6 linked regions of the Macaca mulatta genome follow. The main gene of each other region encodes a partner of the protein of the gene in region 3 in a complex. Links are inferred from orthologs where the notes say so. Each region holds a gene or a part of one and is shown on either strand. Other genes may lie near its edges.

Region 1 (4,383 bases), on a different chromosome or scaffold from region 3:
CTACTAAAAACAAATTCAAAAAATTAGCCAGGTGTGGTGGCGGTTGCCTGTAGTCCCAGCTACTTGGGAGGCTGAGGCAGGAGAATGGTGTGAACCCAGGAGGCGAAGCTAGAAGTTGCAGCCGAGATCGCGCCACTGCCCTCCAGCCTGGGCAAGAGAGCGAGACTCCATCTCAAAAAAAAAAAAAAAAAAAAAAAAAAAAAAAAAAGAAACAGTTCATGGATCTTTTGATACTGATTGAAAAAGCCTTTATTCAACACCTAAAGTGTGTCAGGCACTATGGCTTTGTACTAATATGGTTACTGATTATTATGGTTTTATCCCTTTTAAAATACAGAGAAGCAGATGTTTTGTTTTTGTTTTTGTTTTTTTCCCTCAAAGTTTTAAAACTAATAAATAGCAGAGTTAGCTTTTGAAATTTGGCCTTTCAACTACAGGACTAATGTCATTTTCAACATGTCATAACTGCCTCTTCGGTTCATCCTGCTGTTCTTAAGTGTTCAGCTTCATCTAAACCTCTTTACAAATTGTTGACCAAACCTGGGGGAGAGGCTTCTTTGGTTTACAGAGGATTAGTATAGTGAGCATCTGCTGTTGTTCGTGTTTGATAGAAAATAGCATGTAAAGAGAAAGATTGGGATTAAAGATAGAAACATGCTGACCTGGATAAGTTAGCCAGTATAATTGCTTTAGTAAGTTGAGCTTTGGTGATTGCCCATCATTTCTGCATTGAACAGTGATGACATTTGTAAAAACCACTTATGCTTACACTTACAGAATAATGCCATTCAAAGAATTTTTGCACACATTACTTTTGATTTTGCTTAATATCCATGTGAGTTTTAAGATGAGTTGACAGATTCAGGGAATTTAGTCCACTTTCTCAAGACTGTACAGCAACAAGATGTTGATGCTTATGCTCGGATGGAGTTCTTCCACATTCTGATTTAGTACTTTGCCTCTAGAAAATTTTTTTTCTAGTATATGTTTTTTCTTGATAAAATTTTTGGCCTTTCCTCTCCTGTTTGATTATCATTTTTGCTTTTTCTGAAATTAATAGGAGGAAACACCAATTGGAAGCCTCCACTCAACTGTAAAATTTATAATTACCTGAACAGGATTGGATGCTTCTTCCTTCATCCTCGCTGTAGTAAAAGAAAAGATGCTGCTGATTTTGCCATATGTATGCATGTGAGTCATTGTTTTATTCAAAATCTAATGTGAATCTCACACCCACTTGCATTTTTTTCCCACTTGAATTGTAATGAGAGTTATAGACCATTCTTCAGTACTTCAGGTTCTACCTGTGACTATTATGAAGGCAGGACCCCATAGCATATTTTTATTGCTTTATCCTCAACTTCTAGCAAACCTTCAGCTATCCATGGTAGATACTCAACTATTTGTGGGATAAATGATCAAGAGATGATACTGTTTTTTGGTTTTAAGACAGTGTCGCTCTGTTGCCCAGGCTGGAGTGCAGTGGCGCAATCTCAGCTCACTGCAACCTCAGCCCCCTGGGCTCTAACGATTGTTGTGCCTCAGCCTCCCAAGTAGCTGGGACTACAGGAGCATACCACCATGCTCGGCTAATATTTGTATTTTCAGTAGATGGGGTTTCTCCCTGTTAGCCAGGCTAGTCTCAAACTCCTGGCCTGAAGTGATCCGCCCGCCTAGGCCTCCCAAAGTGCTGGGATTACAGGTGTGAGCCACTGCACCCGCTGATGATACTGTATTTGATATATATTAAGACATTTTCATATTTTAGTATCTCTAAAATTAAGAGGTACCTTAACAATCACTGTCGGCCTAGATAGAATTTACATTTGCTTCTGCCTCTGCCAGGTACCTAGAGAAACTGCCAAACTGAGACCCACTTTACATTTTTTGCTTGAGGACTTACATGTCACACTGATAATGTGAATTTACTCGGCAAACTTGTTGACTACAGCTTATGGTTTAAACAACAAAAGATTTCTTTTTCCCTCTATCTAGTGCCAAGATTGAATCATGCAAATTGCCTTGCTTACCTTTTCTCTATGACAGATTTATTTCTTATTTACCCTTACATTGAGTGTATAGCCCATTGGTATTCCAACTTTATGTGAAGTCTGTTGGACTTCCATTTTGGCTTTTTCTTTTTATGGCACATAAAATAGCTTATCATATAATTTAATAGCATCTTATATTTGATTAAATGTGGGGTATTTAATTTATGAAGGAAGTCTTTCTCTCTGTTTCTTTTTTTTTTTTTCTTTTTGAGACGGAGTCTCACTCTGTCGCCCAGGCTGGAGGGCAGTGGCGCAATCTCGGCTGCAACTTCTACCTCTCAAGTTCAAACGATTCTCCAGCCTCAGCCTGGAGAATCCAGCTTGGGATTATAAGCACATGCCACCACACTCAGCTAATTTTTGCATTTTGTAATAGAGACCGGGTTTCACCATGTTGGCCAGGCTGGTCTTGAACTCCTGACCTCAAGCGATCCACCTGCCTCAGCCTCTCAAAGTGTTGGGATTACAGGCGTGAGTCACTCACCCAGCCGAAGGAGATCTTTGTGTCATACTTTGGTAGGGATTAGGGAACAAGCTTAATATACCTTCCTAGGTATGTGTTCATTGTGAATAGATATAACTTGTTTTGAAACTCGTGCTGATTTTTTATCAACCTGTGCCATTTGTTCTAACTTAGGCTGGCCGTCTAGATGAACAACTACCCAAGCAAATTCCTTTCACCATCCTCTCAGGAGATCAAGGTTTTCTGGAGCTAGAGAATCAATTTAAGAAGACTCAGAGGCCAGCTCATATACTAAACCCTCACCACTTAGAGGGAGATATGATGTGTGCCTTGTTAAATAGCATATCTGATACCACCAAAGGTACGCAGCTGCAGTCACAGTGCAAACCACCCAAGAGGAGGAGACTTCACTGCTGAGAGAAACCAATAAACTGCTGTCCGCTAGTGAACTGTTGCCTGCTTACTAAACCATCATGTTCTCTTACTTCTATCTTACTTCTCTTTTTTTTTTAAATCTCACTTTCATTCTTTAGTGTTTTAGGAGGAGGATGAATTCATAATAATTTTCTGGAGCCTTTTTTTGATCTAGTAGATAAAATCTCTATTGATGTATATAAAATATATATTCATGCGTTATAGTATGTTACTACAATTTTAAGAGCTCAGAATTCACATCTTCACTTTGTTCCTGAAATTCCAAATTGACCTTCAGTCTTTTAGAAAGCAGTGTGTTTACAGTTGAAAACAGGAAAGCAATAAAAAAGGCGATCATTTAGGAGGTTGACAGTGACAAAATGAAATGCTGTTAGGCTTTTAGGTCCTTAGAGAAGTGGGTACATCCTATCTTATTGCTGGGCCTTGCACTTTCTTCTGTACCTTTGTGAGATTATTCAATGAAAGGAGTGCTGATGTCCATTTTCACTTCCTAGTACATAAGAAAAGATGTAATTCTAAGGATTCAGAAGTTTTGTTTTTCATTTTTCATAATTTCTGCAGTCAAATGTTCTACCACTGAGCTATACCTCTCTTTTTCGTAATCTCTGAAGAAATATGGATAGAATAATTAATGTTTAAATAGGCTAATAATTTAAATTCATGAATAAGGTTTGAAGATATTAATGAATTACCTTAATGAAAAATAGTGGCTTTTTGGCATTTTTATTGTGTGCCTTTTTTAAAGTTTTCAACTCTGCTTGCCTCCTAGATTTTTTTTTCTTTCAATATATTTGGAAGTACATTTTGATTGAAAACCCATTTTGGAGAATTTTGCTCTAGTCACTGATTATAGTGGATCAATTCACTTCTGCAAAGTTAGGAATCAGTAATCTGTGCTCTTTATACTCTTTAAAGCAGAGTAATGATGGAAGATTATAAAAGAAAATGAACTCTTGTATCTTTATGTCACTTCCTCTTTAATTTTTGTTTTCACTTGTTTTTTCTATCTGTGAATTTCTTTTTTCTTAACAACAACAAAACAAACAAACAAAAGCCACTGTGTGCAGTGGCTCACGTCTGTAATCCCAGCACTTTGGGAGACCAAGGCAGGTGGATCACCTGATGTCAGAAGTTCAAGACCAGCCTGGTCAACATGGTGAAACCCCGTCTCTACTAAATATACAAAAATTAGCTGGGCATGGTGGCTGTTGCCTGTAATCCCAGCTACTTGGGAGGCTGAGGCAGTAGAATCACTTGAACCCGGGAGGCAGAGGTTGCAGTGAGCCGAGATCGTACCATTGTGCTCCAACCTGGGCAATAAGAGCAAAACTTCATCTCAAAAATAAACAAACAAAAATCAAAACACCTCTTCTACTCTTTTGCCATCCCCTTCCCAGTCCTCAACATCTACTTAATATCCTGTAAGATAAAGTT
Region 2 (4,383 bases), on a different chromosome or scaffold from region 3:
GTTTGGGGGACTATTACAAAAGCTTACTTAACAAAAAGCTTAATATGAAAATGTATCTGACCCAATTTTTACATCAGAGTAAAACAGGCCCTTTGGAGGGGACACTGATTTTTCTGCAGAGCAGCCATGATATATCTTTGTTCCATGGCTTCTAACATGATCAAACTACTTCCCTGTATCACCACCATGCCAGTATCACTCTGTTGCCCACCAGCTGCCATCTCCACACATTCATCTATCTCAGGATGCATAAAGGGACCAAATCCTTGCGACATTCCTTGGATACGTCGGCCAACAGTTATTTTTAAGGTAACTTCTTGTCCATAATTTTTTTCAACTCAGGAGGGTTAGCTTTGCTCATGGTGTCTACTCCGTGGCCTCCCTTACCCTGTTCTAGTAGATCTAACCAGTTAAAAACAAACAAACAAACACTTTGTTGCCTGCATTCCCTGGAGCATCCTCCCAGACTGAACTCTCCTTGACTACTCCTTAAATACCTAAAAAAGATTTCATATTTAGATAATGAATATCTAAGTAATTTTTTTTTTCTTTTTTTTTTTGAGACAGAGTGAAGCTCTTGCTGCCCAGGCTGGAGTCCAGTGGCATGATCTCAGCTCACTGCAACCTCCGCCTTTGGGTTTCAAGTTATTCTCCTGCCTCAGCCTCCCAAGTAGCTGGGACTACAGGCGTCCACCACCATGCCCGGCTAATTTTTGTATTTTTAGTAGAGACGGGGTTTCACCATGTTGGCCACGTTGGTCTCAAATTCCTGACCTCATGATCCACCTGCCTCGGCCTCTCAAAGTGCTGGATTACAGACGTGCGCCACCATGCCCAGCCTTCAAAAGTAATATTTTTATATCACATTTTACTTTAGTAACTTAAAGAGACTTCAAGTTTTCTAACTTAAGTGTCGCTGGGCATGGTGGCTCACACCTGTAATCCCAGTAATTTGGGAGGCCGAGGCAGCTGGATCACTTGAGGTCAGGAGTTTAAGACCAGCCTGGGCAACATGGTGAAACCCTGTCTCTACTAAAAATACAAAAATTAGCCAGGCGTGGTGGCACACACCTGTAATCCCAGCTACACAGGAAGCTGAGGAAGGAGAATTGCTTGAACCCAGGAGGTGGAGGCTGCAGTGAGCCAACATTGCACTGCTGCACTCCAGCCTGCACGATGGGAGTGAGACTCCATCTCAAAAAAAAAAAAAGTGGAAAAGAGTTATTTCTGTTGTAATAATTTGAATACATAACCAATTGAGCCAGTTTGGTCATCTTCAATACCTTGCCTCCCTGACTCCTCTTCTAAAACCTATTCCTCTCCTTACATGGTAGGTACAGGTTGAATATCTTATCTGAAATGTATGGGACCAGAAGTGTCTCCAAGATAAAGAGATAACCTGGAGATGGGACCTGGGCCTAAACATGAAATTCATTATGTTTCATATACACCTTATGCAAAGCCTGAAGGTAACAGGTGCATCAATCATGGCCTTTCTAATACGCCGCTGAGAGGCATTAGGAAAAGTAGAAAGTATGGCTGAGACAGTTCACGTGTAAGGCTTCTGGAGGTGGTTGGTCTTTCACAGGACTATGGGAAGAAATGAGGAAGCTTGCATTACCTCTGAGAATTGCTGCTAGCCTCCAAGAGTCTAAAACCAGTGTCTATAATGTTAGAAACCTAAAGTAAACAAGCAAAACCCCTCAACTCTAATAGAGGAATAAACAAAAATGCCTATAGTTTCAAGGCATTCTGAGAGGTATTCTTACTCAGCAAGGACTCTGGAGAAGGGAGGTGTACTATTCCTCTCATCGTCCCTATTTCCCACTGAAGAACTCCTTAAGAAATCTCCTACTACCAGTCTATCAAACCATGAGGTTCTGACCCTTCCAGTTTAAAGAAGCAATCAAACTGCAGTGTCTGGTGCTCAAATTGTTCTCTTAACCTGTGGTGGAGAAACTAGAAGGACCCATTTTAAAAAACAAAAGAAACTAACCTGTTTTGATACTGGTGTCCACACTGCGAACATTCGAAGTCCCAAGAAAAAGAATATAGGAAGAGCTTCTCAATGTGGGGTTCTAGTTTTAAGAGCAGGGGAAATGCAAACACAGGGCTTTCCATATCACCTTCAAAAAGAAAAGGAAAAATTACTGCTCATAATCAATAATGGCAAAAATTAAACCAAAATTGTGAACTACTGTCTTTTCTTACTATATTTACAGCATGAATATGTGTTAATACAGTATGACAGAATAAGTCACCCAGAGCTGGGAGAGGGAAAGTTTATAAAGCATTTCTCTAAAAATGTCCATCATAAATATTTAATTAACACTTCGATCTCTTTCCTTTTCCTTGGCAGACATTTATGAAAATGTCTTAAGACAAAAAAAACACACAAAAGACCCATACTGTCTTCCATCTTTCTAGATTTCTCAGGAAAAAAAAAAGATCTTGGAACTATAATAGCCTTAGAGTATATTAAAACAAAAATTGATGAGGTGTGGTGGCTCACACCTTGTAATCCCAGCACACTGGGAGGCCAAGGCAGGAGGACTGCTTGCATTACCTCCGAGAATTGCTGCCAGCCTCTAGGAACCTAAAACCAGTTTCTATGACGTTCGAGACCAGCGTAGCCAATATAGCGAGGCACCATCTCTACAAAAAATAAAATGAAATAAATTAGCTGAGAGTGGTGCCACACACCTGTAGTCCAAGCTACTCAGGAGGCTAAGGCAGGAGGCTCATTTGAACCCAGGAATTTGAGGCTGCAGTGAGCTATGATCATGCCGCTGCATACCAGCCTGAGTGACAGAGCGACACCCGTCTCTAAAAAAAGAAAAAAAATTATGGAAATGGTTTGCCACAGATGTTAAAAAAATGTAACCAGTGAAACACTGTAGAAACACACCAGAATTGGCCATTTCTATTCTGATCATCTTGTTCCACCTGTGGAAAGGGTGTGGCCACACAATGGTTAAATGACCAGCCTCAACTCTTTGGACTCTTCATCTACCGTTCTTCCTAACTTTTCAGTCTAATCCTTTCCTTTAACAACTTTACGATTGAAGATTTGAATCTTGTCACTGAAAATAACTGAACAGTGAATGTTGGCTTTCAGCTTTGAGACTGGAAAGTAAGCTAAGTAGCAGAATCTACATGCTTCTCTTACATTCTTTTTTCCAATTGGTTTCTCTCCTTCCTATTCTCAAGGAGCTCAGATGCTCCCTTACTGATTTGGCCCAAGAGACTGAGTCCTTCCATGCCTTCCCTAACCTGGACAGAGCCTCACTTCCATGGTCCAGTTCTCCCCCTAGCCTGGAACTACAGTTGCCTCGAACAGTCACCTTGGCAGGACCACAAGGCAGACAGTAGGTGTTATTACCTAAGTAATAACAATCATGTGGGGTTTCTAAAAATTACTGATTTCCTGAGCCCCATCCCTGAGATTCTAATTCAAATGTCCCTATGATTGGTATTTACTTTTAAATTCCCTTGGTGCTTTTCAATGCACAGTTGAGGTTAAAAATGGTAGATGTGTCTACTGGGAAAAGTACTAAAGAAGCAACTAACAACTTGCCCCCTAAATATTCTCCTGGTTCTGAGAACTGCACCCACTCTCAAGAGGTGGGACACCAGCCTGCATATTTCTAGGGAACGCCTCTGCCCTACAATAACGTACCCAGTGGTAGATTCCTAAGTCAGACCGCTCAGATTCTTTCTCCCAAGAAGATGACCATCCAAGGTAATCAAACAGTGTTATACTTCCTTATGATGTACGTATTTCTACATGGTAGATGAGTATAATACAAGCAAGTTATACCCTAACCCTAAGCATATTCTATAAATATCGGTAGTTACAAAGGCTATTTTAGTCACCTTTGTGGGACAGTCTCACTGCTACTTTTGAACAAAAACATAAAAAAAGTTTGTATTATTTATTTATTTTGAGACAGAGTTTCGCACTTGTTGCTCAGGCTGGAGTGCAGTGGCGCGATCTCAGCTCACCGCAACCACTGCCTCCTGGGTTCCAGCAATTCTCCTGCCTCAGCACCCCCGAGTAGCTGGGATTACAGGCTCCTACACCACGCCTGACTAATTTTTTGTATTTTTAGTAGAGACAGGGTTTCACCATGTTAGTCAGGCTGATCTTGAACTCCTGACCTCAGGTGATCCACCTGCCTCCGCCTCCCAAAGTGCTGGGAATACAGGTGTGAGCCACCGGGCCCAGCCATAAAACAAGTTTTAAAAAGTTTTTTTGTAAGTAGAAATACAAATAAATCTCCCAGAAATGAAAATATGCAACACTGTATGCATAAATAGTATGTCATATAGCACAATTTTGTAATTCATTACCAGCCTTTAAATCCGCATTCTATTGTAAGT
Region 3 (5,000 bases):
AGGAAGTTTTTATTTTCACTGATCTTTCAAGTATCAACTCAAACTCAATTTCCCAACTTACATAGGTTTAAGCCTTATTCTACTTTGAAGCTGTTTAGAACAATCTGAAGGGGCCAGGCACAGTGGCCCACGCCTGTAATCCCAGCACTTTGAGAGGCCAAGGTGGGCGGATCACTTGAGGTCAGGAGTTGAGGTTAGGTCTACCAAAAATACAAAATTAGCTGGGCATGGCGGCGCACGCCTGAAATCCCAGCTACTCAGGAGGCTGAGGCATAAGAATAGCTTCAACTTGGCCGGGCACGGTGGCTCAAGCCTGTAATCCCAGCACTTTGGGAGGCTGAGACGGGCGGATCACGAGGTCAGATCGAGACCATTCTGGCTAACACGGTGAAACCCCGTCTCTACTAAAAAAAAAATACAAAAAACTAGCCAGGCATGGTGGTGGGCGCCTGTAGTCCCAGCTACTCGGGAGGCTGAGGCAGGAGAAGGGCATAAACCCGGGAGATGGAGCTTGCAGTGAGCTGAGATCTGGCCACTGCAGTCCAGCCTGGGCGACAGAGCAAGACTCCGTCTCGGGGGGGAAAAAAAAAAAAAAAAGAATAGCTTCAACTCAGGAGGCAGAGGTTGCAGTGAGCAGAGATTGAACCACTGCACTCCAGCCTGGGCAATAGAACAAGATTCTGTCAAAAAAAAACCAAAAAAAAACAAAAAAAACCCCACGATTTACAAGGTAGATAAGTTCTAGCTTAAAAAAATACGGCAAGACTCCCATCTCAAAAAAAAAAATAAAAAAAAAGACTTCTTGGTCTGGCGCAGTGGCTCATGCTTGTAATCCCAGCACTTTGGAAGACCGAGGCGGGTGGATCACCTGAGGTCAGGAGTTTGAGACAAGCCTAGCCAATATGATGAAACCCCATCTCTACCAAAAATACTAAAAAAAATTGGCCAAGCGTGGTGGCAGGCACCTGTAATCCCAGCTACTCAGGAGGCTGAGGCAGGAAAACTGCTTGAACCCGGGAAGTGGAAGTTGCAGTGAGCTGAGCTCACGCCACTGTACTTCAGCTTGAGCAACAAGAATGAAACTCCGTCTCAAAAAAATAAAATAAAATAATAAAAGACTCTTAAGTAATTTTACCAAGTTCACTCTTACTTTCTTATAAACATAAAATTACATTTCCTTGGTTAAAAAAAAAACCAAAAAACAAGTATTGTAAATACAATTTGATGGATTTCTGGCACAGGACTGGAACCACATATAATACTAAGCAAATCATCCTAAGGGTTTTCATGAGCAAGCTACCAAGTGCACGATAAAACTGACATGCCAAGTACAAGTGCATATTCATCCCATCAAAAAGTCACTGTAGTATTATGCCAGGCTAGTTTTTGTTCCCATGAAAATAAGATTTTTAAAAATAGTTTTATTCAGTGGAAGTACACATATGAATTCCTCACCTGTCGTTCACAATAGGCTTTCATTAGTTTACTAAGTGGTGTATGCCTCTTAATCTTAAACTGCACCACAGAACCATCCTGCCCCGCCACCTTCAAATTAATATGATCGTTGTTCTCAGTCTTGACTCCTTCCTGTTAAAAGAAAAATAAAAGTATAATTTGGGAAATGTGATCAACACACACTTTTATAAAGCAGCAGCAGCCCTAAGTTGCTTCAAAAATCAACAGGTTTCTCATACGGTATGCTAAAACGGCATACGGCTGTTTTCAGCTGCTGAAATCAATGTGAAAGAGGAGAAATCCTGCAGCAACAGTATTAGATAGCTGTCAGATACAGAAAAGCCTACATGCAATACTATCAGTAACAACAATACATGTTTAAAGTTGGGTCCTATTCAGTGTATTGAACGTTCTCTTGAAGCTAAACTTTCTAAAATGGCATATATCACTCCCAAAATATATATTTTACCCCCAAAAAAAGTTAAAAATAAGAGTCTCTTTTCTAAGCACTTTAAGTACAACTGCAAGAAACAAAACAATAAATCTACAGCCTGCCATTCAAAACTCATTACCGTTGTCGTTAAAAAGTTACCAAACTCAGTTTAATAACCTAAATCCAATCTCCATTAAAGTAAACACACACACGAAAAATCGAAGAATATCCCGATTCCCTCCGGAACAGCGGTAATACTCAGGACCACAGTTACGTTCTCCTCTATTAGCAGCTTCATTTTTATCTTCGGTTAAGAGCACTTATTCTCCCCTCCCCTTTGTTGTCATGGGTCAAATACACAGTTTTATCCCAAGTGTTTCTTGTAGATTTCGACCCAACCTAAAGTTGTCCAAAATCGAGTGTAGAAGGCATGCTGTAGCCCTAAAACGCTTCAGAAAGTAAAGGCGCGAGAGGCGGGAGGTGTCACCAAACTAAAAGCAGCAAGTCCCGTGTGCCCCGATGATGGGTGTCCCCCAGTCCTCCCGGGAAGTCTTCGGGTGCCTCAAAAGCCGCATTCAAAAGTTAAGCCGCACAAAGTCTCTCTGCTCCTACCTGTGCCTCCAACTTCATGAAACCACATGGTCTTCGCGGATTAGGGGTTCGTTGGCACCCAGGGAAAAGCCGCTGCCCCTCCCCCCTCAGGTCCCTGAGGCCATTAAAGTGGGAAATACTCCACGGGAATCCCCCTACCCCCAGGCCCAGTACGGCGGCCAGCGGGCATCCAGGTTCCTGCTCATCAGCAGCCCATTGATTCGCCCCGAACCCTCGCCCCGCCGCCGCCGCCCCGGGCAGGAGTCCCCAGATGCCCGCGGTTTCTACCCCTGAGAGGTGAAGCCCGAGCCCAGGGGACTCCCCGCCGCCTCGGAGACTGCAACACCCGACGCGGGGTCGGCGCAGGGTGGAGACCCCGCGCGCCCTAACGCCCCTCCTCACGCGCGCCGGACGGCTGGGCCAAGAATCCCCGTTCGGGGCTGGTGGGCCCGCGGGCGTCCGCGATCTGCCCGCCCAACTCGCGCCCCGCGCGCACTCGGAGGCCGCCGGGGGCGGGAGAGAGCGGCGGGGCCTCCTCCGGCGCGGGAGGGAGGAAGAGAGGGAGGGAGGAAAATGGCGCGGAGCGCCGGGGCCTGAGCTGCGGCCGGCCCTGTGGGGGGCCCGGGAAGGCGCTGGGAGCCAGCGGCGAGCTCTGGCCGGACCCCGGCCCGCGCCCTGACCCCGACCGCGCGGCGAGGCGAAGGGGCCGGCGCCGAGCTCACCTTGGGCTTTTCGTCGGCCATGGCGAGCGCCGGAGTCTCCTCAGCTGCCGCTTCACAAAAGAGGTACCAGGTCCGCACCAAACGAGCACACAAGCAGCACCAGGAGCGGCAGAAGAAGGAGGCGGCAGCGGTGGACGAGGGAGAGGGTGCGCGCACGTCGTGCGCTCCCTCCCCCCACCCTGCGTGCGCGAGCACGAGCCGCCGGGGCCTCCCATTGGCTGGCGCCTCGCGGGAGCGCGCAACGCTTACATAACCACCCCCACCCCCCGCCCCGCGCCACCGCGTCCTGGGCCAGGCGCCCGCCCGGCCGGCGGGAAGAAGCGCGGACACGCGCACCCGGCCCGCCGCGGGGGCGCGCCTGGCTCTGGGCGGGGCTGTATTGTCCTCCTTCGTGGTGGAGCATAATCAAAATGGCTTCCAGCTGGTCCTCGGTGGGAACGATGAGGCTCGAGGCTTTAGACGTGAGCCATAGGCCAGGGAAGGCTGACTGACTAGAGGAAGAAGGGGATTCCTAAATCAAAGCCCCAGCATGAGGTTCTGGAAAAATCTCTCTCTTTCAGTGGACCAGCAGCCCTCCCATGGTTACTTCCTCTCAGTCAGTCTTAACCTGCTTCCCACCGGACTCTTGCCTCAAATGCAGTGTCTTCTTCTTTTTTTTTTTTTTTTTTTTTGAGACGGAGTCTCGCTCTGTTGCCCAGGCTGGAGTGCAGTGGCACGATCTCGGCTCACAGCAACCTCTGCCTCCCAGGTTCAAGCGATTCTCCTGCCTCAGCCTCCCGAGGAGCTGGTATTACAGGCGCACGCCACAACACCCGGCTAATTTTTTGTATTTTTCGTAGGGACAAGGTTTCCCCGTGTTAGCCAGGATGGTCTCGGTCTTCTGACCTCGTGATCCGCCCGCCTCGGCCTCCCAAAGTACTGGGATTACAGGCGTGAGCCACCATACCCGGCCTGCAGTGTCTTCTTCTGTCCTGCTGGTAACCCTAGACTTTGACTAGCTACGGGAAAATGTTCGTGTATTCATTCAACGAACTCCTTACTCATCGCCTATCTTCCAAGAGGAAACAGTATCCTTAAGCGAGAACTACCCAACAATCAAGCTTCCAGCCAATTTAATCATTTCCTCCTTGCATCCAGTTAAAACATAGACATGCATCCCTCCTGTCTGAAGAACAATCCAGTGTGTGCACTGGATTCCATCTTGCTCCTCCCCCTGGGCTTTATTATTTGCTTTTGTCCCTGAATTTTCTTCCTCTCCTCCGTTAGTATAGAAAAAAAAAAAAAAAAAGAAGAAGCTCTCAATTCTATTAAGTTACCATCCTATCTCTCTCCATTCTTGGCCAAACAGCTTGAAAAAATGTCCCTGCCAGCTGTCTCCAACCCCTCCCCTCCCACTCACTCCTCAACCCACTGCAATCTGGTGCTGTCCCCAAAGTTCCACTAAAACTGCTCTCCACAAGGTCACCGCAGACTTCTTTGCTGAATCCAGTATGCTTCTCAGTTTGTCACTCTTTCTCTTGAACTTTGCAGGAGGTAGGTTTTCCTCTCATCTCTAGCCTGTCCTTTGTTCTCTCTGCAATTTCTTTTTCTTACTCACTCCTTCCCTTAACTGTTCCTTAGGGTTTTCTTCAAGATCCTTTTATCACTCAATTCCCTCTCCGAGGATGATTTCACCCGCTTTCGCTGCCATCTCTTTGCTAATGATCCTCAAATCTGTTATTTCTAGTCCACATCTTTCTTCTGAGTTTCCAGTTGGATGTCCCAGAGGCACCTCAAACCCAGCAACTCTCAACTAAAAC
Region 4 (4,383 bases), on a different chromosome or scaffold from region 3:
GAGGCAGAGGTTGAGGTGAGCAGAGATTGCCCCACTGCACTCCATCTTGGCGACAGAGCGAGACTCCATCTCACCCAAAAAAAAAAAAAAATTCCTGGAGGGGTTTTGACTGGTATTGTATTAAATCTATAGATTAATTTTGGAAAACTGATATTCTAGTTATTTTGAGTTTTCCAATCCAGGAACAGTATACCTTTCCATTAATTTAGATTTTTTATTTCATCAGTGTTTTGTGGCTTTTGGCATATAGCTCTTGTGTAGAACAAAATTAAAATTCCTTATTTCCTGGCCATAGCTGATTTAGTCTAGACCCCTCAACCCATTTAGTAGCCACAACCCATTATTACTATTTGGTAAGAACATTCTAGGTCAGGCGCAGTGGCTCACACCTATAATCTCAGCACTTTGGGAGGCCCAGGCGGGTGGATCACCTGAGGTCTGGAGTTCGAGACCAGCCTGCCCAACATGGTGAAACCCCGTCTCTACTAAAAATACAAAAATTAGCCAGGCAGGATGCCACCACAACTACTCGTGAGGCTGAGGCAGGAGATTCACTTGAACCTGGGAGGTAGAGGCTGCAGTGAGCCACGAGCATGCCATTGCACTCCAGCCTGGGCAACAAGAGTGAAATTCTGTCTCAAAAATAAACAAATGAGAACATTCTAAAGTTTACCGCATCAACAAAAGCAATGGAACTAAAAGGAAAATTTATTAGAGATATTCTTACTTGAGCTTCCTGAACTTTTTGAAGCTCTGATTGAAAGTCTTCCCCATTTCCATTGTCTTCATCAGTATCACTACAGACTCCACAAAAAAATGTAGGTGGAAGTTTTAACGTATCTGCTTTTGCCTTCTCTTCAACTGTTGGTTTCTTTTCCCAAACAATAATGCATTCTTTCTCATTATCTGAAAAATCAGTACAACACAAGCAAACGAAATTAGATGAAGCCCAACTTCTCTACAACAATGGTAGTCATCAATATAATCTACAGACCCAGGTAACAAGACCTGTACATGCTAATGAAAAACAAGGACCACCCAGAAAAGAATATTTTTCACCTAATGTTAAAGTATTTTAAATCACCATGGGCATAGTAAAATTGATAATTATAGAAATTACCAGACTAGGTTATTCCTTCTAAATAGAAGACTTGTTAAAAGCAGTATAAATGTCCTTTACATTTAACATACCTGCTGTATTTTCTTCCAAGGGTCTACATTTTTCTGAGCCATCCAGATACAGTTTTCCATTAAGTTTCTTGACAGCTGTTTCGAAATCTTCATCTTAAAATACAATTGATTAAAAGAATTTCTAGTTAATTTTGGGGGGTTTTCCTTGCTTAGGGACTATCTCCAACTTCACCCTTTCTCCCTCTCCCCATTTGAATTGCAGTCAATTTTGCCAATTTTATATCCTTAATACCTCTCTTACTGCTAGAGCTTTAGCTCAGCCTCTCATCTTGTTTGAGCTGCTCTCATTTTAACTCATCTTCCAATCTCCTTGTCCCATAATCCAATACTGTATACCACTGTCCAACTGATTCTATTGAGACTTTTATTTAACTGCTTAGCTTAAAAAATGGCATACAAAGTTTTCCATTGGAACCTTGTCTGCCTTATCTCTCTTCCACATCTTTAAGACTCCAGAAAAATTATGATTATTTTAAATCCCCTCAAAACATGTGCCTGGCACATTAGCCATCCAAAAAATGCTTGCTCAATGATCACAGTCCTTTTGATCCTTATATCCATTGACCACTTACACATACATTTAGGGTGAATATACCTGCAAGGATATTAGTGATAAGTTCTAAGAGGCAGGCTTAAAATAATTACACCACACTCCCAATTTTACTAAGATTAGCAGGAACACAGTGTTTTTGAAATAACAAAAGTTTTACCATCCTCCTCTTCTTCACTAACATAATCTGGTCTATTCTTGTAGCAGAAGAAAGTTGGAGGAAGTTTCAGTTTGGTTGCAAGGGCTTTCTGCTCAGCGGTTGGAGTTAGTTCATATACAATGAGAACATCATCATCTGAGGGAGAATCCTCAGGTTTTTTCTTCTCTTTTGCTGTAACACCAGTCAAAAAAATTGACAAAGGTAAGGTATTAAGTATTGACATTAATACTCTAACTGAAAATAAAAACCATAGAACTTGTCTGCAGGTTAAAACAGCATACTGATAAAAAATACATATACTTTGATGCAGAGATGTACGATAATCATGAATTAGAATTAGCATCCTGATTTAGTGTTCTACCAAAAACCCTTAGTGAACATAGAATCTATTTAAAACCAAAGAAAACAAAAGTCTTGTGTTTACTTAATAGTTATTGAAAAGAATTACTACTGATTTCTAGAATTTAAAAAGGTTAAAAATTTGAAAGTGTTGCCTAACTATACTTAGCATACAGTAGGTTTATGAAAATATCCATGCATTTGCAGCAACTAAAAAAATCTTAAAGAAAACATAAGCAAGTATTAGTAGACATATGAAACTAATCCAAAGCCAACTGTGATTAGTTCCTGTAAGGAGAGTTAACAATTGCCAAGAATGGAAGGTGATTAGAGTTGCATCTACTTTGTCTACATTCCAAGCATGATACTAGATAAAATTAAATAAAAACTGTTACTCTATGGGTAACTAACACTATAAAATCTAAGATGATTCATATGGCTGAAAACCACCCATCTCCAGCCACCATCAATGCAAAGGGCAAAAAATTAGAGAGAGAAAAAACTTCTATATGCAACCTGTTCTGATCTATTAATGTAAAGAAGAATTTCTGGCTAAAGGAGTTTAATAAAGTAAGCCAGTCAAGAAGCATGCCATGTATACCAACTGGTGACAGGGAAACATTCTGAGAGCTATGCTGTCCAATATGGTAGCCTAGCAACATTCTATTAAAACCTTACAAGGTGGCTAGTCCAAATCAAGACATGCTAATACTAAGTGTAAACACACACACTGGATTTTGAAGACTTGGTGAAAAACAATAATGTAAAATATCAATTTTTATGTTAATTAGAAGTTAAAATGATATTTTGGATATCATGAGTGAAATCAAATATATCAATAAAATTACTTTCATCTGTTTCCCTTTTTAACTGTTTCTTTTTATTCTTTTTAATATGGCTACTAGAAAATTTATTTATTTAATTTATTTGAGATGTGGTCTTGCTTTGTCACCCAGAGCTGGAGTGTAGTGATGTGATCATAGTTTACTGAAGCCTGGAACTTGTGGGCTCAAGTGATCCCTCTGCCTCAGCCTCCCAAGTAGCTGGGATTATAGGCACAAGCCTGCACCAAATGACAATTTTAAATTACATACACAGGTTATACTTTATTTCTATTGGATGACACTGCTCTGGAGAACCAGCGCCCTTCCTTTCACAATGTTAAATTTGTCCTTCTCCTACATTATAAACAAAAACTTAGTATCATTACCTAGCTAGGAGAAATAACAGTACACCGTAAGATAAAGGTTCTTGTTCCAGTTCTACTATTACTCAGTCAAGACACCTTGGGTAAATGAGATAGCCTCTCTTGGCCTCAGTTTACTCATGTCTAAAGTCTTCATTTCTAAGGTGCCTTGGGACAATGACATTATCAGATTCAAAACAGAATAAGGCTCTTTGTTCTACAGTAGTGTATAGACACATTCGTTCTTAGGTCAGGGATTCCTAACCTAGAGCTCACAGAAACTGTATGCAAGTATACATCCACTTTCGAAACTGTATGCTAGTATACATCCACTTTTAAGTTCACTTTTCATATTTCTCAAAGACTGTATCTTTAAAAATAAAAGATTAAGAGCTACCTTAGCCAGTAATAAAACTGGTATACTTAAAAAAAATCAGAGATTGTTACTTTATCATTGTACTTGTTTGGCATGGCTAAGATGTGTTACTGGTCACTAATGGTGAGATTTCACTTCCCTAAACTTTCTAGAAGGCCTTCAACAGATCCCACTTCTTGTTCCACTCTAGCAGCCACACTTCTAAAAATGATCTGTGCAACATATATAATACACAAGCTGTAGAATGCTGGCTGTTAAAAATGGGGTCCATTTTCAAATACAACATTTTTCTAAACCGTGCACAAAAGAACAGCCCTACAGGGACACTCTTCCATATTGTATACATGCCGTTGCCAATACATTTGAATACTGGCAGACGTTAGTGGCTAAAGATAAACATTAGATAAAACATAGGTCTTCATTGAGCAGACTTGAAATAACAGAGTAATGAAGTACATTACAAATCAGCATCCCAGTATATTTTAAAAAACAAACCAAAAATAAAGGATGTCATGCCACCAGTCAAAAGGTGCTTTGCTTAAACTGGCATTCTTTAACATGCATGTTGTAGTGTTAAGTAC
Region 5 (4,383 bases), on a different chromosome or scaffold from region 3:
TAAAATAAAATAAATATAAAAATTTTTAAAGAATAAATAAATAAGAACTAAAAAGGGTTGGGTGAAGGAGGAGACATTAAAAAAAATAAAAAATAAAAAGAGACTCTGCAGGGCATGCTTATAATATATACTACTGGCCTTTATACACAGGGCAGAAAAGGGCAGCATTTTTTTTTTTTTTTTTTTTTTTGAGATGGAGTCTCGCTCTGCCGCCCAGGCTGGAGTGCAGTGGCCGGATCTCAGCTCACTGCAAGCTCTGCCTCCCGGGTTTACACAATTCTCCTGCCTCAGCCTCCCGAGTAGCTGGGACTACAGGCGCCCGCCACCGCACCCGGCTAGTTTTTTGTATTTTTTAGTAGAGACGGGGTTTCACCGTGTTAGCCAGGATGGTCTCGATCTCCTGACCTCGTGATCCACCCGTCTCGGCCTCCCAAAGTGCTGAGATTACAGGCTTGAGCCACCGCGCCCGGCCAGGCAGCATTATTTTTAAAAAATGGTCTTTATCCAAAGTCCAACAATTAACCATTAACCCTCTCTACTCACCACCAGGCTCCAATGTACCTTCCGATGAATAGGCACCAGAATAATTTCTTGTTCAAAGAGATTTACCCCTTTGGTCCATCGTTTCACTGCTTGGTAACCCCCAGACTTTAATTTAGGATAGAAGAAAGTACTAAATACATGAAGTGCTGGATAGCCTTGCTTTCTATTTCTTTCCACCAGAAGATTCATGTAAAAATTAATGACCTACAAAATACCAAGGGAACAAAAGTTGGAACATGGCAAATATATTATCAAAACTAAATTTCTACCTGAATAAGGATGAATTCGAAGGTAAGGTACTAAAGAAGGGGATAAAAGGACTCTCTATAGTAGAAGACAGGGAAAAAAGTGATCAGTGCAAAATGGAACACATGAAAATGGAATGAAACTCTACTTTTAAGGCATGTAAGTAACACTTAACGGCCAGAAGATGGAATCCAGGAAGAAAGTCTGTGCAATAATAAAAAGATCTACATAACTGTAACACAGCAAAAAAATGCAGAAATATTAACAGTAAGTGAATTTTACTATATATAAATTAGACTTCAATTTTAAAATATAAACTGGAAGGACATACACCAAAATATTAACATTTTATTTATCTTTAAGTGGTGGTACTTTTGAACAGTAATATTTTTTACTTTTCCTGTATTTTCCAAATGTTCTACAATAAACAAATTACATTATAATGTAAAACAAAACATTCCTATTTTCAAAGAATGTGTTTATAAGTAACTAGTCATAGGGGATTTCCCTCAAAGAGAGAAGATGCAGGGGCTAAACAGTTCGGGAAAGAACCCACCAGAAAATTGTCAAAGAACTTAAGAGTTAGCTTCTGCTAAATGTAATAAGGATACAAGATGACAAGTTAGGCAAAATTTTTCAGCTATCACTCAAATAAAGAAAAATACATAGAGTATATAGTAATCAATATATCCTTTTATTACTCAAAAAATAAAACAGGCCAGGCGTGGTGCCTCACGCCTGTGATCCCAGCACTTTGGGAGGCCAAGGTGGGCAGATCACCTGAGGTCCAGAGTTTGAGACCAGCCTGACCAACATGGAGAAACCCTGTCTCTCCTAAAAATACAAAATTAGCCGGGCGTGGTGGTGCATGCCTGTAATCCCAGCTACTTGAGAGGCTGAGGTAGGAGAATCGCTTAAACCCAGAAGGTGGAGGTTGCATGGAGCCAAGACTGCACCATTGCACTCCAGCCTGGACAACAAGAGCGAAACTCTGTCTCAAAAACAAAAAACAAAAACAAAAAAACAGCTACTATAAGAATTCACCTAAAATACAGTATCACTTGCTGCTTCCTCCTATTCATCAGTTGTACCCAGGGTTTACTGAAGACCAGTAAATGGAGTGGTGGATGTAATAAAGTACAGACGCAGAAAAGGGAAATATTGCTAATTAAAGGCAGAAAATCAGAACTAACCATCTTTTTAAGATTTAAGATGTTTTTGTTTTAATTATAACTAAGAGTTGCTTTACCAACCTCTTATAACTGGGTAGAAGTCACTTTGATTACAGATAATAAATAAATAGTTAAAATTAATGATGGCCAAAAGGGGGAGGGAATACAACTTACTTCATCATTGAGCCAGTGATAGTTCTTTAATGTCTGAATATCTCCTCGAGTAATTCGCAATTTGAAAGCACAACTTAGGATTTCATCCTGTGGGCCATGGCCTAGGGCATTACTGATTTCCTTTTCCATGTCCTGAATTAGAAAGTCCAGAAGTTGTTATTTTAATATAGAACCCATTATCAGTTATTGAAAACTCTGAGACTGAAAAAAGTTTTTCATCTCGGCAACACCTGACTCTTGAGAAAAATATACTATCAAAGACTTACTATAGTATGAAAACATTTTTTTCTTATTTTTTAGTAATAGAGATGGGGCCTCATTATATTGCCCAAGTTGGTTGCAAACTCCTGGGCTCAAGCAATACCCGCCTTGGCCTCCCAAAGTGCTGAGATTATAGGCATGAGCCACCACACCAACCCTGAAAATATTTTAACTTGTAACTACAAAGCACTCTTACTAATACAACAAATGCTGGTTCACTTATTAGCTTGTGGAAACAATAATAATAATATTTACATCTAAAGTATGGTCTCAATTATCCTACTACTATGTATTAACCACTATGAGCCAAACATGGTGTTAGATGCTTGAAGCACATCATTAATCCGTATTAGTGGGGAAGATATTATTACCATTTTATAGAGAAGAAAACTGAGAATTTATTTTACATATTCAAAGTCATATAATTATTAAAAGGTAGAACAAATATTTGAACCCAGGTGTGTCTAATTTCCTGGCCTTTGCTCCCTTCATAATACTAAAATCCTGATTTCCACTTTAAACTTTTATTTTTTTTTGAGACAGAGTCTCACTTTGTCACCCAAGCTGGAGCGCAGTTGCATGATCTCACCTCACTGCAATCTCTGCCTCCCGGGTTCAAGCGATATTTGTGCCTCTGTCTCCTGATTAGCTGGAATTATAGGTGCGCACCACCATGCCAGCTATTTTTTTTTGTATTTTTAGTAAAGACGAGGTTTCACCATGTTGGCCAGGCTGGTCTTGAACTCCTGACCTCAAGTGATCTGCCTGCCTCAGCCTCCCAAAGTGCTGGGATTACAGGCGTGAGCCACTGCACCCATTCTCTCCTTTAAACTTTTAAAACATCAAAATAGGCTGGGTGCGGTGGCTCACGCCTGTAATCCCAGCACTTTGGGAACCCAAGACGGGTGGATCATGAGGTCAGCCTGGCCAGCATGGTGAAACCCCGTCTCTACTAAAAAGACAGAAATTAGCTGGGCATGGTGGCATGCACCTATAGTCCCAGCTACTCAGGAGGTTGAGGCAGAAGAATCACCTGAACCTGGGAGGCAGAGGTTGCAGTAAGCTGAGATCGTGCCGCTGCACTCCAGCCTGGCGACAGAGCGAGACTCCATCTTAAAAATAAGTAAATAAAACATCAAAATAAGATTAGGACATCTAAGGGGTTATACCATCCTTTTTGACATGAAGAGAATAAGCAAACAGGCAGAAACTTGGAAACCAGGCAGCAATTTAGCAATTGACTCCTTATGGAATAAATGGCTTCATCATACTAAAGAATTATGCAGATAAATGCATTATTTAGAATACAAAACTAAATCCATTAACCCAATAGAAATTATTTTCCTCTAGGCCCGGGGCAGGGACTCGCGCCTATAATCCCAGCACATTGGCAGGCTGAGGTGGGTAAATCACCTAAGGTCAGGAGTTCGAGACCTGCCTGGCCAACACGGTGAAACCCAGTCTCTACTTAAAATACAAAAATTAGCTGGGCGTTGTGGCAGGTGCCTGTAATCCCAGCCACTTGGGAGGCTGAGCATGGAGAATCACCTGAACCCAGGAGGCAGAGGTTGCAGTGAGCCAAGATCGCGCCATTGCACTCCAACCTGGGCAACAAGAGTGAAACTCCATCTCAAAAAAAAAAAAAAAAGAAGAAATTATTTTCTTCTAAATATATGCTTCCTCCCCCAGCACACAGCTTCACTATTTTATGGATCTCTCTCTCTCTCCACCTGCATGCCCAATATAACAGTAAGTATTCAAGAGATTTGCCTACTAGGGCAACATTGTAGAGGAAGCCAAGATGTGGCACATCTTTAAGAATTTTAACTACCTTCATTCTTCATGTTCTGTAAGTTTTTATTATTTTCAAATGCAATAATCAGCAAAAGGGGCATTTTAGTAAACTGTAACCACTTTTTTAAAAAATGCAATGAACTTATTCCTAATACCAAACCCATACTATATAACTCAACATATTTGAAGGTTA
Region 6 (4,383 bases), on a different chromosome or scaffold from region 3:
CGGATCCCTCCTCCTGCCTTTTGAAAAATACTGCCAACCCAGAGATGTCATCCTGAGCACCCCTAAATTTCTCTCTTCAACTATGTATGGAACAGAATATACCTCATCTCTAAAACAAGCCCACAAGCCATTTGTGTTTTTCTTTCTGTTTTTTTTTTTTTGGTGACAGAGCCTTGCTCTGTTGTCCAGGCTGGAGTGCAGAGGCATGATCTCAGCTCACTGCAGCCTCCACCTCCTGCGTTCAAGCAATTCGCCTGCGTTCAAGCAGTTCTCCTGCCTCAGTTTCCCGAGTAGTTGGGATTACAGTGCACACCACCATGCCTGGCTAATATTTTTATAGTTTTAGTAGAGACGAGGGTTTCACCATGTTGGCCAGGCTGGTTTCGAACTCCTGACCTCAGGTGATCTGCCTGCCTTGGCCTCCCAAATTGCCCTCCCAAAGTGCTGGGATTATAGACATAAGCCACCATACCTGGCCCATTTGTGGTTTTCTACTGGGGAAATTGAGTTAAAATGTTTCCCTTCCTTCCTGTTTCTCTATTTTTCTGTTCTTGTTTGCTTATTTATGTATTTACATTTAGAATTTATATAAAATGATACATAGAAACTTTGTATCCCTGAGAAGGTTAAGATGCCAAGTAATGCTGTGTAGAAAATAATAGTCTATGATTATTCTTCCCACAAACAGCTAGCAGGGGAAGGAAAGTAGGCATGGGGGATTGCGTGAACCCAGTTCTAGGGTGAAAGACGGGGAGGATAGTGCAGAGGGGACTGATGTTGGGACTGTAAGAGTTTAATTTTGGGGAGACAGGTACAAAAGGTGCTTATTGGGTAACTCTTCTGGGAAAGCTGCTAAAGTTTCTAAGTTAAGATTTTCTGCATTTCTGGAAATTGTGTTTCAGAGGCTCCAAAAGGAAGAAAAAGAAAACCCAGAACAACAGAACCAAAAAAACCAGTGGAACCCAAAAAACCCGCTGAGTCAAAAAAATCTGGCAAGTCTGCAAAATCAAAAGAAAAACAAGAAAAAATTACAGACACATTTAAAGTAAAAAGAAAAGTAGACCGTTTTAATGGTATTTCAGAAGCTGAACTTCTGACCAAGACTCTCCCCGATATTTTGACCTTCAATCTGGACATTGTCATTGTAAGATCTTTGTCCTCGTTGGATTTTATAAGTAGTATTGGGGGATTAGCTTTACTTAACAGTTGTCCTTGCAAATAGCATTTTGCTGAAAAGGACCATTTCTAAGAATCCTTTTGGTGGTAAATGGTGTCACCTGCATGAGTTTGTGTTATATGGGAGTGTTTAAGAGGGTGGGCTCCAAATGTAGGCTGTCTGGGTTCAAATCCTGTCACAAGTATAATCTTGGGTAAGCCTTACTAACTTTCTGAACACCGGTTTTCTCACTGATAAACCAAGGGTGATAATACCACTCCCTTATAGGGTTGCAAGTAAATGAGATAATCCATGTGAATCACTTCGACTGAATACCTGTGGAGACTTCATAAATGGTAGCACAGATTTTAAGCTCTTATTTTTGTCAGTAACTGTAAGAAACATCAGCATGTGAATAATTGTGTAGGTGATGTGGAGCGAGCTTGTTGAAAGCTGAGAACCAGAATTGTGGCTGGACATGGGCTCAGATTGATTGATTGTTCCAGGACCTCTCTTTCCAGACTCAAAGCAGCCCAGTTGGTGAGGGCGAGAGGCCTGGGATCATGAAGGAGTCAAACTGGTTTTTTAAAATAACAGCAAAACTTTTAAAATAAAGAAAATCTCTTTCCCATGTATGAAATACTTTGTTCAGATCAAGAGTAGTGATTGGTAAATGATATTGCTTATGATGCTCAATTAAATTTGTATTTTAATCAACTCAATTTTGTCCACCACTCCTCCATAGAAACCCTAAGGCTTAGGTCCTACTTTTTAAGATGAAACGTCTTAATTGTTTTGTTTTATAGATTGGCATAAACCCGGGACTAATGGCTGCTTACAAAGGGCATCATTACCCTGGACCTGGAAACCATTTTTGTAAGTGGTTACCTTTTAAATTAATTTACTTTTAAATTAGATACCTTTTTAACAGGTTTTTTCAAAAAAACCAATTGTGTTTTTAAAAAGAAAGAGACTGTAAATACACATTCATGTTTCATATTCTGTGTATGCGTCTGTACATGAAAATAAGAGGGTTTGAAATGATATGTCACTGTTAACATTTTAGTCTGAGAGTGGAGGGACATGAATAAGAGTACTTTCTCTTTTGTTTGAATTGTTTCTAATGAGTTGTACTACCTTTTTTTTTTTTTTTTTGAGATGGAATTTTGCTGTTGTGCAGGCTGGAGTGCAATGGCGCAATCTCCGCTCGCCGCAGCGTCCGCCTCCCAGGTTCAAGTGATTCTCCTGCCTCAGCCTGCCTAGTAGCTGGGATTACAGGCATGTGCCACCACGCCTGGTTAATGTTGTGTTTTTAGTAGAGATGGGGTGTCTCCATGTTGGTCAGGCTGGTCTCGAACTGCCAACCTCAGGTGGTCTGCCCACCTCAGCCTCCCAAAGTGCTGGGATTACAGCCGTGAGCTACAACGCCCGGTCAAGTTGTATTACTTTTTAAAAATGATTTTTTTAAAAAATTGTTATCTATAGACATAGGAACGATAGTATAGTACATCTCTGTGGCAACGCAGACATAATACTAACATTTCCAGATTTCTGCTGATTATTTTCTAGGAAAGCATAAAATAGTAGTAAAGACTTATATTTTTAGAGTAAGTTTTACAACGAAGTGTTGGCGGGATCTGATGGCTCACGCCTGTAATCCCAACACTTTGGGAGGCCAAAGCAGGAGGATCACTTGAGGCCAGGAGTTTGAGACTAGCCTGTACAACATAGCAAGATCTCATTTCTACAAAAAATAAGGTAGAGGTTGTGGTGCACACCTGTAGTTCCAGCTACTACAGAGGCTGGATTGGGAAGATTGCTTGAGCCTGAGAGGTAGAGGCTGCAGTGAGCCACAATTACTCCACTGCACTCCAGCCTTGGTGACAGAACTAGACCCTGTATCAAAAAAACAAGAAAACAAACAAACAAAAAACAAGCGTAACTACTGTTGCATTACTTTCTCTATATAAGCTGTCTTGTATGTAAATCATCTCACCTTATACCGCCTAATAGATCAGTGTATACAATATACCCTAAGGAAATACTAATTGATTATCTAACGGTAACATTCAGAACATTTAGGGCAACTGACAGTAATGTGGTTTTGGAACTAATAATAACATATTGTTCCTATAAAAAATTCCTTTTTTAGGGAAGTTTGGACTTTTAAATTTCTTCACCGTCAAGGTGTTTGTTGTTAGTCTATTGCTGTATATTTATGTGTGAGGTAGTGGTATCACCAATTGTAAAGCAAAATAGTCTCAAAGTTTCCTAAACTGAGTTGCTATATATTCTTGGGCAAGCATTTGCCTCAACCCCCTGTGAAAAGGAGATAATAATAGTATCTCGCAAGATAATTATGATGATTAAATCCAGGCGCGGTGGCTCACACCTGTAATCCCAGCAGTTTTGGAGGCTGAAGTGAGAAGATCACTTGAGCCCAGGAGTTCAAGACCAGCCTGGGCAACATGGTGAAACCCTGTCTCTACAAAAAATACAAAAATTAGCTGAGCATGGTGGTGTGCACCTGGGGTCCCAGCCACTCAGGAGGCTGAGGTGGGAGGATTGCTTGAGCCTCGGTGGTCGAGGCTGCACTGAGCCATGATTGTGCCACTACACTCTAGCCTCTAGCCTGGGTGACAGAGCGAGACCCTGTCTAAAAAAAAAAAATAACTGAATTTTCATTTCACAGGGAAGTGTTTGTTTATGTCAGGGCTCAGCGAGGTCCAGCTGAACCATATGGATGATCATACTTTACCAGGGAAGTATGGTATTGGATTTACCAACATGGTGGAAAGGACGACGCCTGGCAGCAAAGATCTCTCCAGGTAAGTACACAGCATTTGTTTTTATGGGTTGGAACCTTGACTAGGCTGGTCCCCCAAATATTCTAGGAACATCATATGTGTCTAGTTCAAGCTGAGCTCAACAAATGTGCGATACAATCTTTCATTGAAAGCTGTCTGAATCTAGCGTATTAAAAATATTGCCATATTTGTATTTTTGACTACTTTTTAATTCAATTTTAGTAAAGAATTTCGTGAAGGAGGACGTATTCTAGTACAGAAATTACAGAAATATCAGCCACGAATAGCAGTGTTTAATGGAAAATGTAAGATTTACTTTTAAATTTTATTTTTTTTCTTTGCTAACATTATGGGCAATGTAAATATGTTTGTATTTCATTTTAGGTATTTATGAAATTTTTAGTAAAGAAGTTTTTGGAG

Evidence for each region.
Region 1: the proteins of SUMO2 (region 3) and ZNF451 are in contact, whole or in part, in a crystal structure (PDB 5D2M), measured with the Homo sapiens proteins. The link is inferred for Macaca mulatta from reciprocal best matches to the Homo sapiens genes SUMO2 and ZNF451. Residues at the interface, in NP_008868.3 of Homo sapiens: Asn19, Ala23, Gly24, Gly27, Ser28, Val29, Val30, Gln31, Phe32, Lys33, Ile34, Lys35, Lys42, Leu43, Ala46, Arg50, Gln51; in NP_001026794.1 of Homo sapiens: Asp30, Ile31, Gln32, Phe33, Val34, Ser35, Glu36, Gly37, Pro38, Leu39.
Region 2: the proteins of SUMO2 (region 3) and USPL1 are in contact, whole or in part, in a crystal structure (PDB 7ZJV), measured with the Homo sapiens proteins. The link is inferred for Macaca mulatta from reciprocal best matches to the Homo sapiens genes SUMO2 and USPL1. Residues at the interface, in NP_008868.3 of Homo sapiens: Gln25, Asp26, Gly27, Ser28, Val29, Arg59, Arg61, Gly64, Gln65, Pro66, Ile67, Asn68, Asp71, Gln75, Leu76, Phe87, Gln88, Gln90, Thr91, Gly92; in NP_005791.3 of Homo sapiens: Ala234, Cys236, Trp237, Gln322, Leu323, Arg324, Met330, Glu331, Ser332, Val334, Phe335, Leu339, Thr378, Thr380, His393, Gly395, Pro396, Asn398, Arg407, His421, Phe422, Val423, Glu424, Tyr451, Asn454, Asn455, His456, Phe457, His493.
Region 4: the proteins of SUMO2 (region 3) and RANBP2 are in contact, whole or in part, in a crystal structure (PDB 3UIN), measured with the Homo sapiens proteins. The link is inferred for Macaca mulatta from reciprocal best matches to the Homo sapiens genes SUMO2 and RANBP2. Residues at the interface, in NP_008868.3 of Homo sapiens: His17, Asp26, Gly27, Ser28, Val29, Val30, Gln31, Phe32, Lys33, Ile34, Lys35, Thr38, Lys42, Leu43, Arg50, Gln51; in NP_006258.3 of Homo sapiens: Asp2630, Asp2631, Val2632, Leu2633, Ile2634, Val2635, Tyr2636, Glu2637, Leu2638, Pro2654, Thr2656.
Region 5: the proteins of SUMO2 (region 3) and SENP2 are in contact, whole or in part, in a crystal structure (PDB 3ZO5), measured with the Homo sapiens proteins. The link is inferred for Macaca mulatta from reciprocal best matches to the Homo sapiens genes SUMO2 and SENP2. Residues at the interface, in NP_008868.3 of Homo sapiens: Arg56, Arg59, Arg61, Phe62, Asp63, Gly64, Gln65, Pro66, Asn68, Thr70, Asp71, Gln75, Leu76, Glu77, Asp82, Asp85, Phe87, Gln88, Gln89, Gln90, Thr91, Gly92, Gly93, Val94, Tyr95; in NP_067640.2 of Homo sapiens: Gln385, Asp386, Leu395, Arg396, Tyr408, His409, Trp410, Leu411, Asn412, Asp413, Glu414, Ser439, Thr440, Phe441, Pro444, Lys445, Arg456, Trp457, Lys459, His474, Val477, Trp479.
Region 6: the proteins of SUMO2 (region 3) and TDG are in contact, whole or in part, in a crystal structure (PDB 2D07), measured with the Homo sapiens proteins. The link is inferred for Macaca mulatta from reciprocal best matches to the Homo sapiens genes SUMO2 and TDG. Residues at the interface, in NP_008868.3 of Homo sapiens: His17, Asn19, Asp26, Gly27, Ser28, Val29, Val30, Gln31, Phe32, Lys33, Ile34, Lys35, Thr38, Lys42, Leu43, Ala46, Glu49, Arg50, Gln51, Gly52; in NP_003202.3 of Homo sapiens: Met165, Arg281, Gln283, Val286, His287, Ile290, Asn305, Met306, Asp307, Val308, Gln309, Glu310, Val311, Gln312, Tyr313, Thr314, Phe315, Asp316, Leu319.

The regions. Positions count from the first base shown.
Region 1 is NC_133409.1:125,138,040-125,142,422, reverse strand, and holds part of ZNF451 (E3 SUMO-protein ligase ZNF451), read left to right. Parts: intron 1-1,060; coding exon 1,061-1,191; intron 1,192-2,688; coding exon 2,689-2,875; intron 2,876-4,383. UniProt on the Homo sapiens protein: E3 SUMO-protein ligase; has a preference for SUMO2 and SUMO3 and facilitates UBE2I/UBC9-mediated sumoylation of target proteins. Plays a role in protein SUMO2 modification in response to stress caused by DNA damage and by proteasome inhibitors (in vitro).
Region 2 is NC_133422.1:10,494,964-10,499,346, reverse strand, and holds part of USPL1 (SUMO-specific isopeptidase USPL1), read right to left. Parts: intron 2,656-4,383; exon of another isoform or gene 2,567-2,655; intron 2,127-2,566; coding exon 1,997-2,126; intron 1-1,996. UniProt on the Homo sapiens protein: SUMO-specific isopeptidase involved in protein desumoylation. Specifically binds SUMO proteins with a higher affinity for SUMO2 and SUMO3 which it cleaves more efficiently. Also able to process full-length SUMO proteins to their mature forms.
Region 3 is NC_133421.1:84,872,862-84,877,861, forward strand, and holds the start of SUMO2 (small ubiquitin-related modifier 2), read right to left. Parts: upstream 3,352-5,000; 5' UTR 3,223-3,351; coding exon 3,202-3,222; intron 1,588-3,201; coding exon 1,456-1,587; intron 1-1,455. UniProt on the Homo sapiens protein: Ubiquitin-like protein that can be covalently attached to proteins as a monomer or as a lysine-linked polymer.
Region 4 is NC_133418.1:19,348,465-19,352,847, reverse strand, and holds part of RANBP2 (E3 SUMO-protein ligase RanBP2), read right to left. Parts: intron 2,073-4,383; coding exon 1,902-2,072; intron 1,285-1,901; coding exon 1,192-1,284; intron 907-1,191; coding exon 728-906; intron 1-727. UniProt on the Homo sapiens protein: E3 SUMO-protein ligase which facilitates SUMO1 and SUMO2 conjugation by UBE2I. Involved in transport factor (Ran-GTP, karyopherin)-mediated protein import via the F-G repeat-containing domain which acts as a docking site for substrates.
Region 5 is NC_133407.1:97,770,099-97,774,481, reverse strand, and holds part of SENP2 (sentrin-specific protease 2), read right to left. Parts: intron 2,268-4,383; coding exon 2,136-2,267; intron 748-2,135; coding exon 544-747; intron 1-543. UniProt on the Homo sapiens protein: Protease that catalyzes two essential functions in the SUMO pathway.
Region 6 is NC_133416.1:111,203,071-111,207,453, forward strand, and holds part of TDG (G/T mismatch-specific thymine DNA glycosylase), read left to right. Parts: intron 1-902; coding exon 903-1,144; intron 1,145-1,962; coding exon 1,963-2,032; intron 2,033-3,848; coding exon 3,849-3,984; intron 3,985-4,185; coding exon 4,186-4,268; intron 4,269-4,347; coding exon 4,348-4,383. UniProt on the Homo sapiens protein: DNA glycosylase that plays a key role in active DNA demethylation: specifically recognizes and binds 5-formylcytosine (5fC) and 5-carboxylcytosine (5caC) in the context of CpG sites and mediates their excision through base-excision repair (BER) to install an unmethylated cytosine.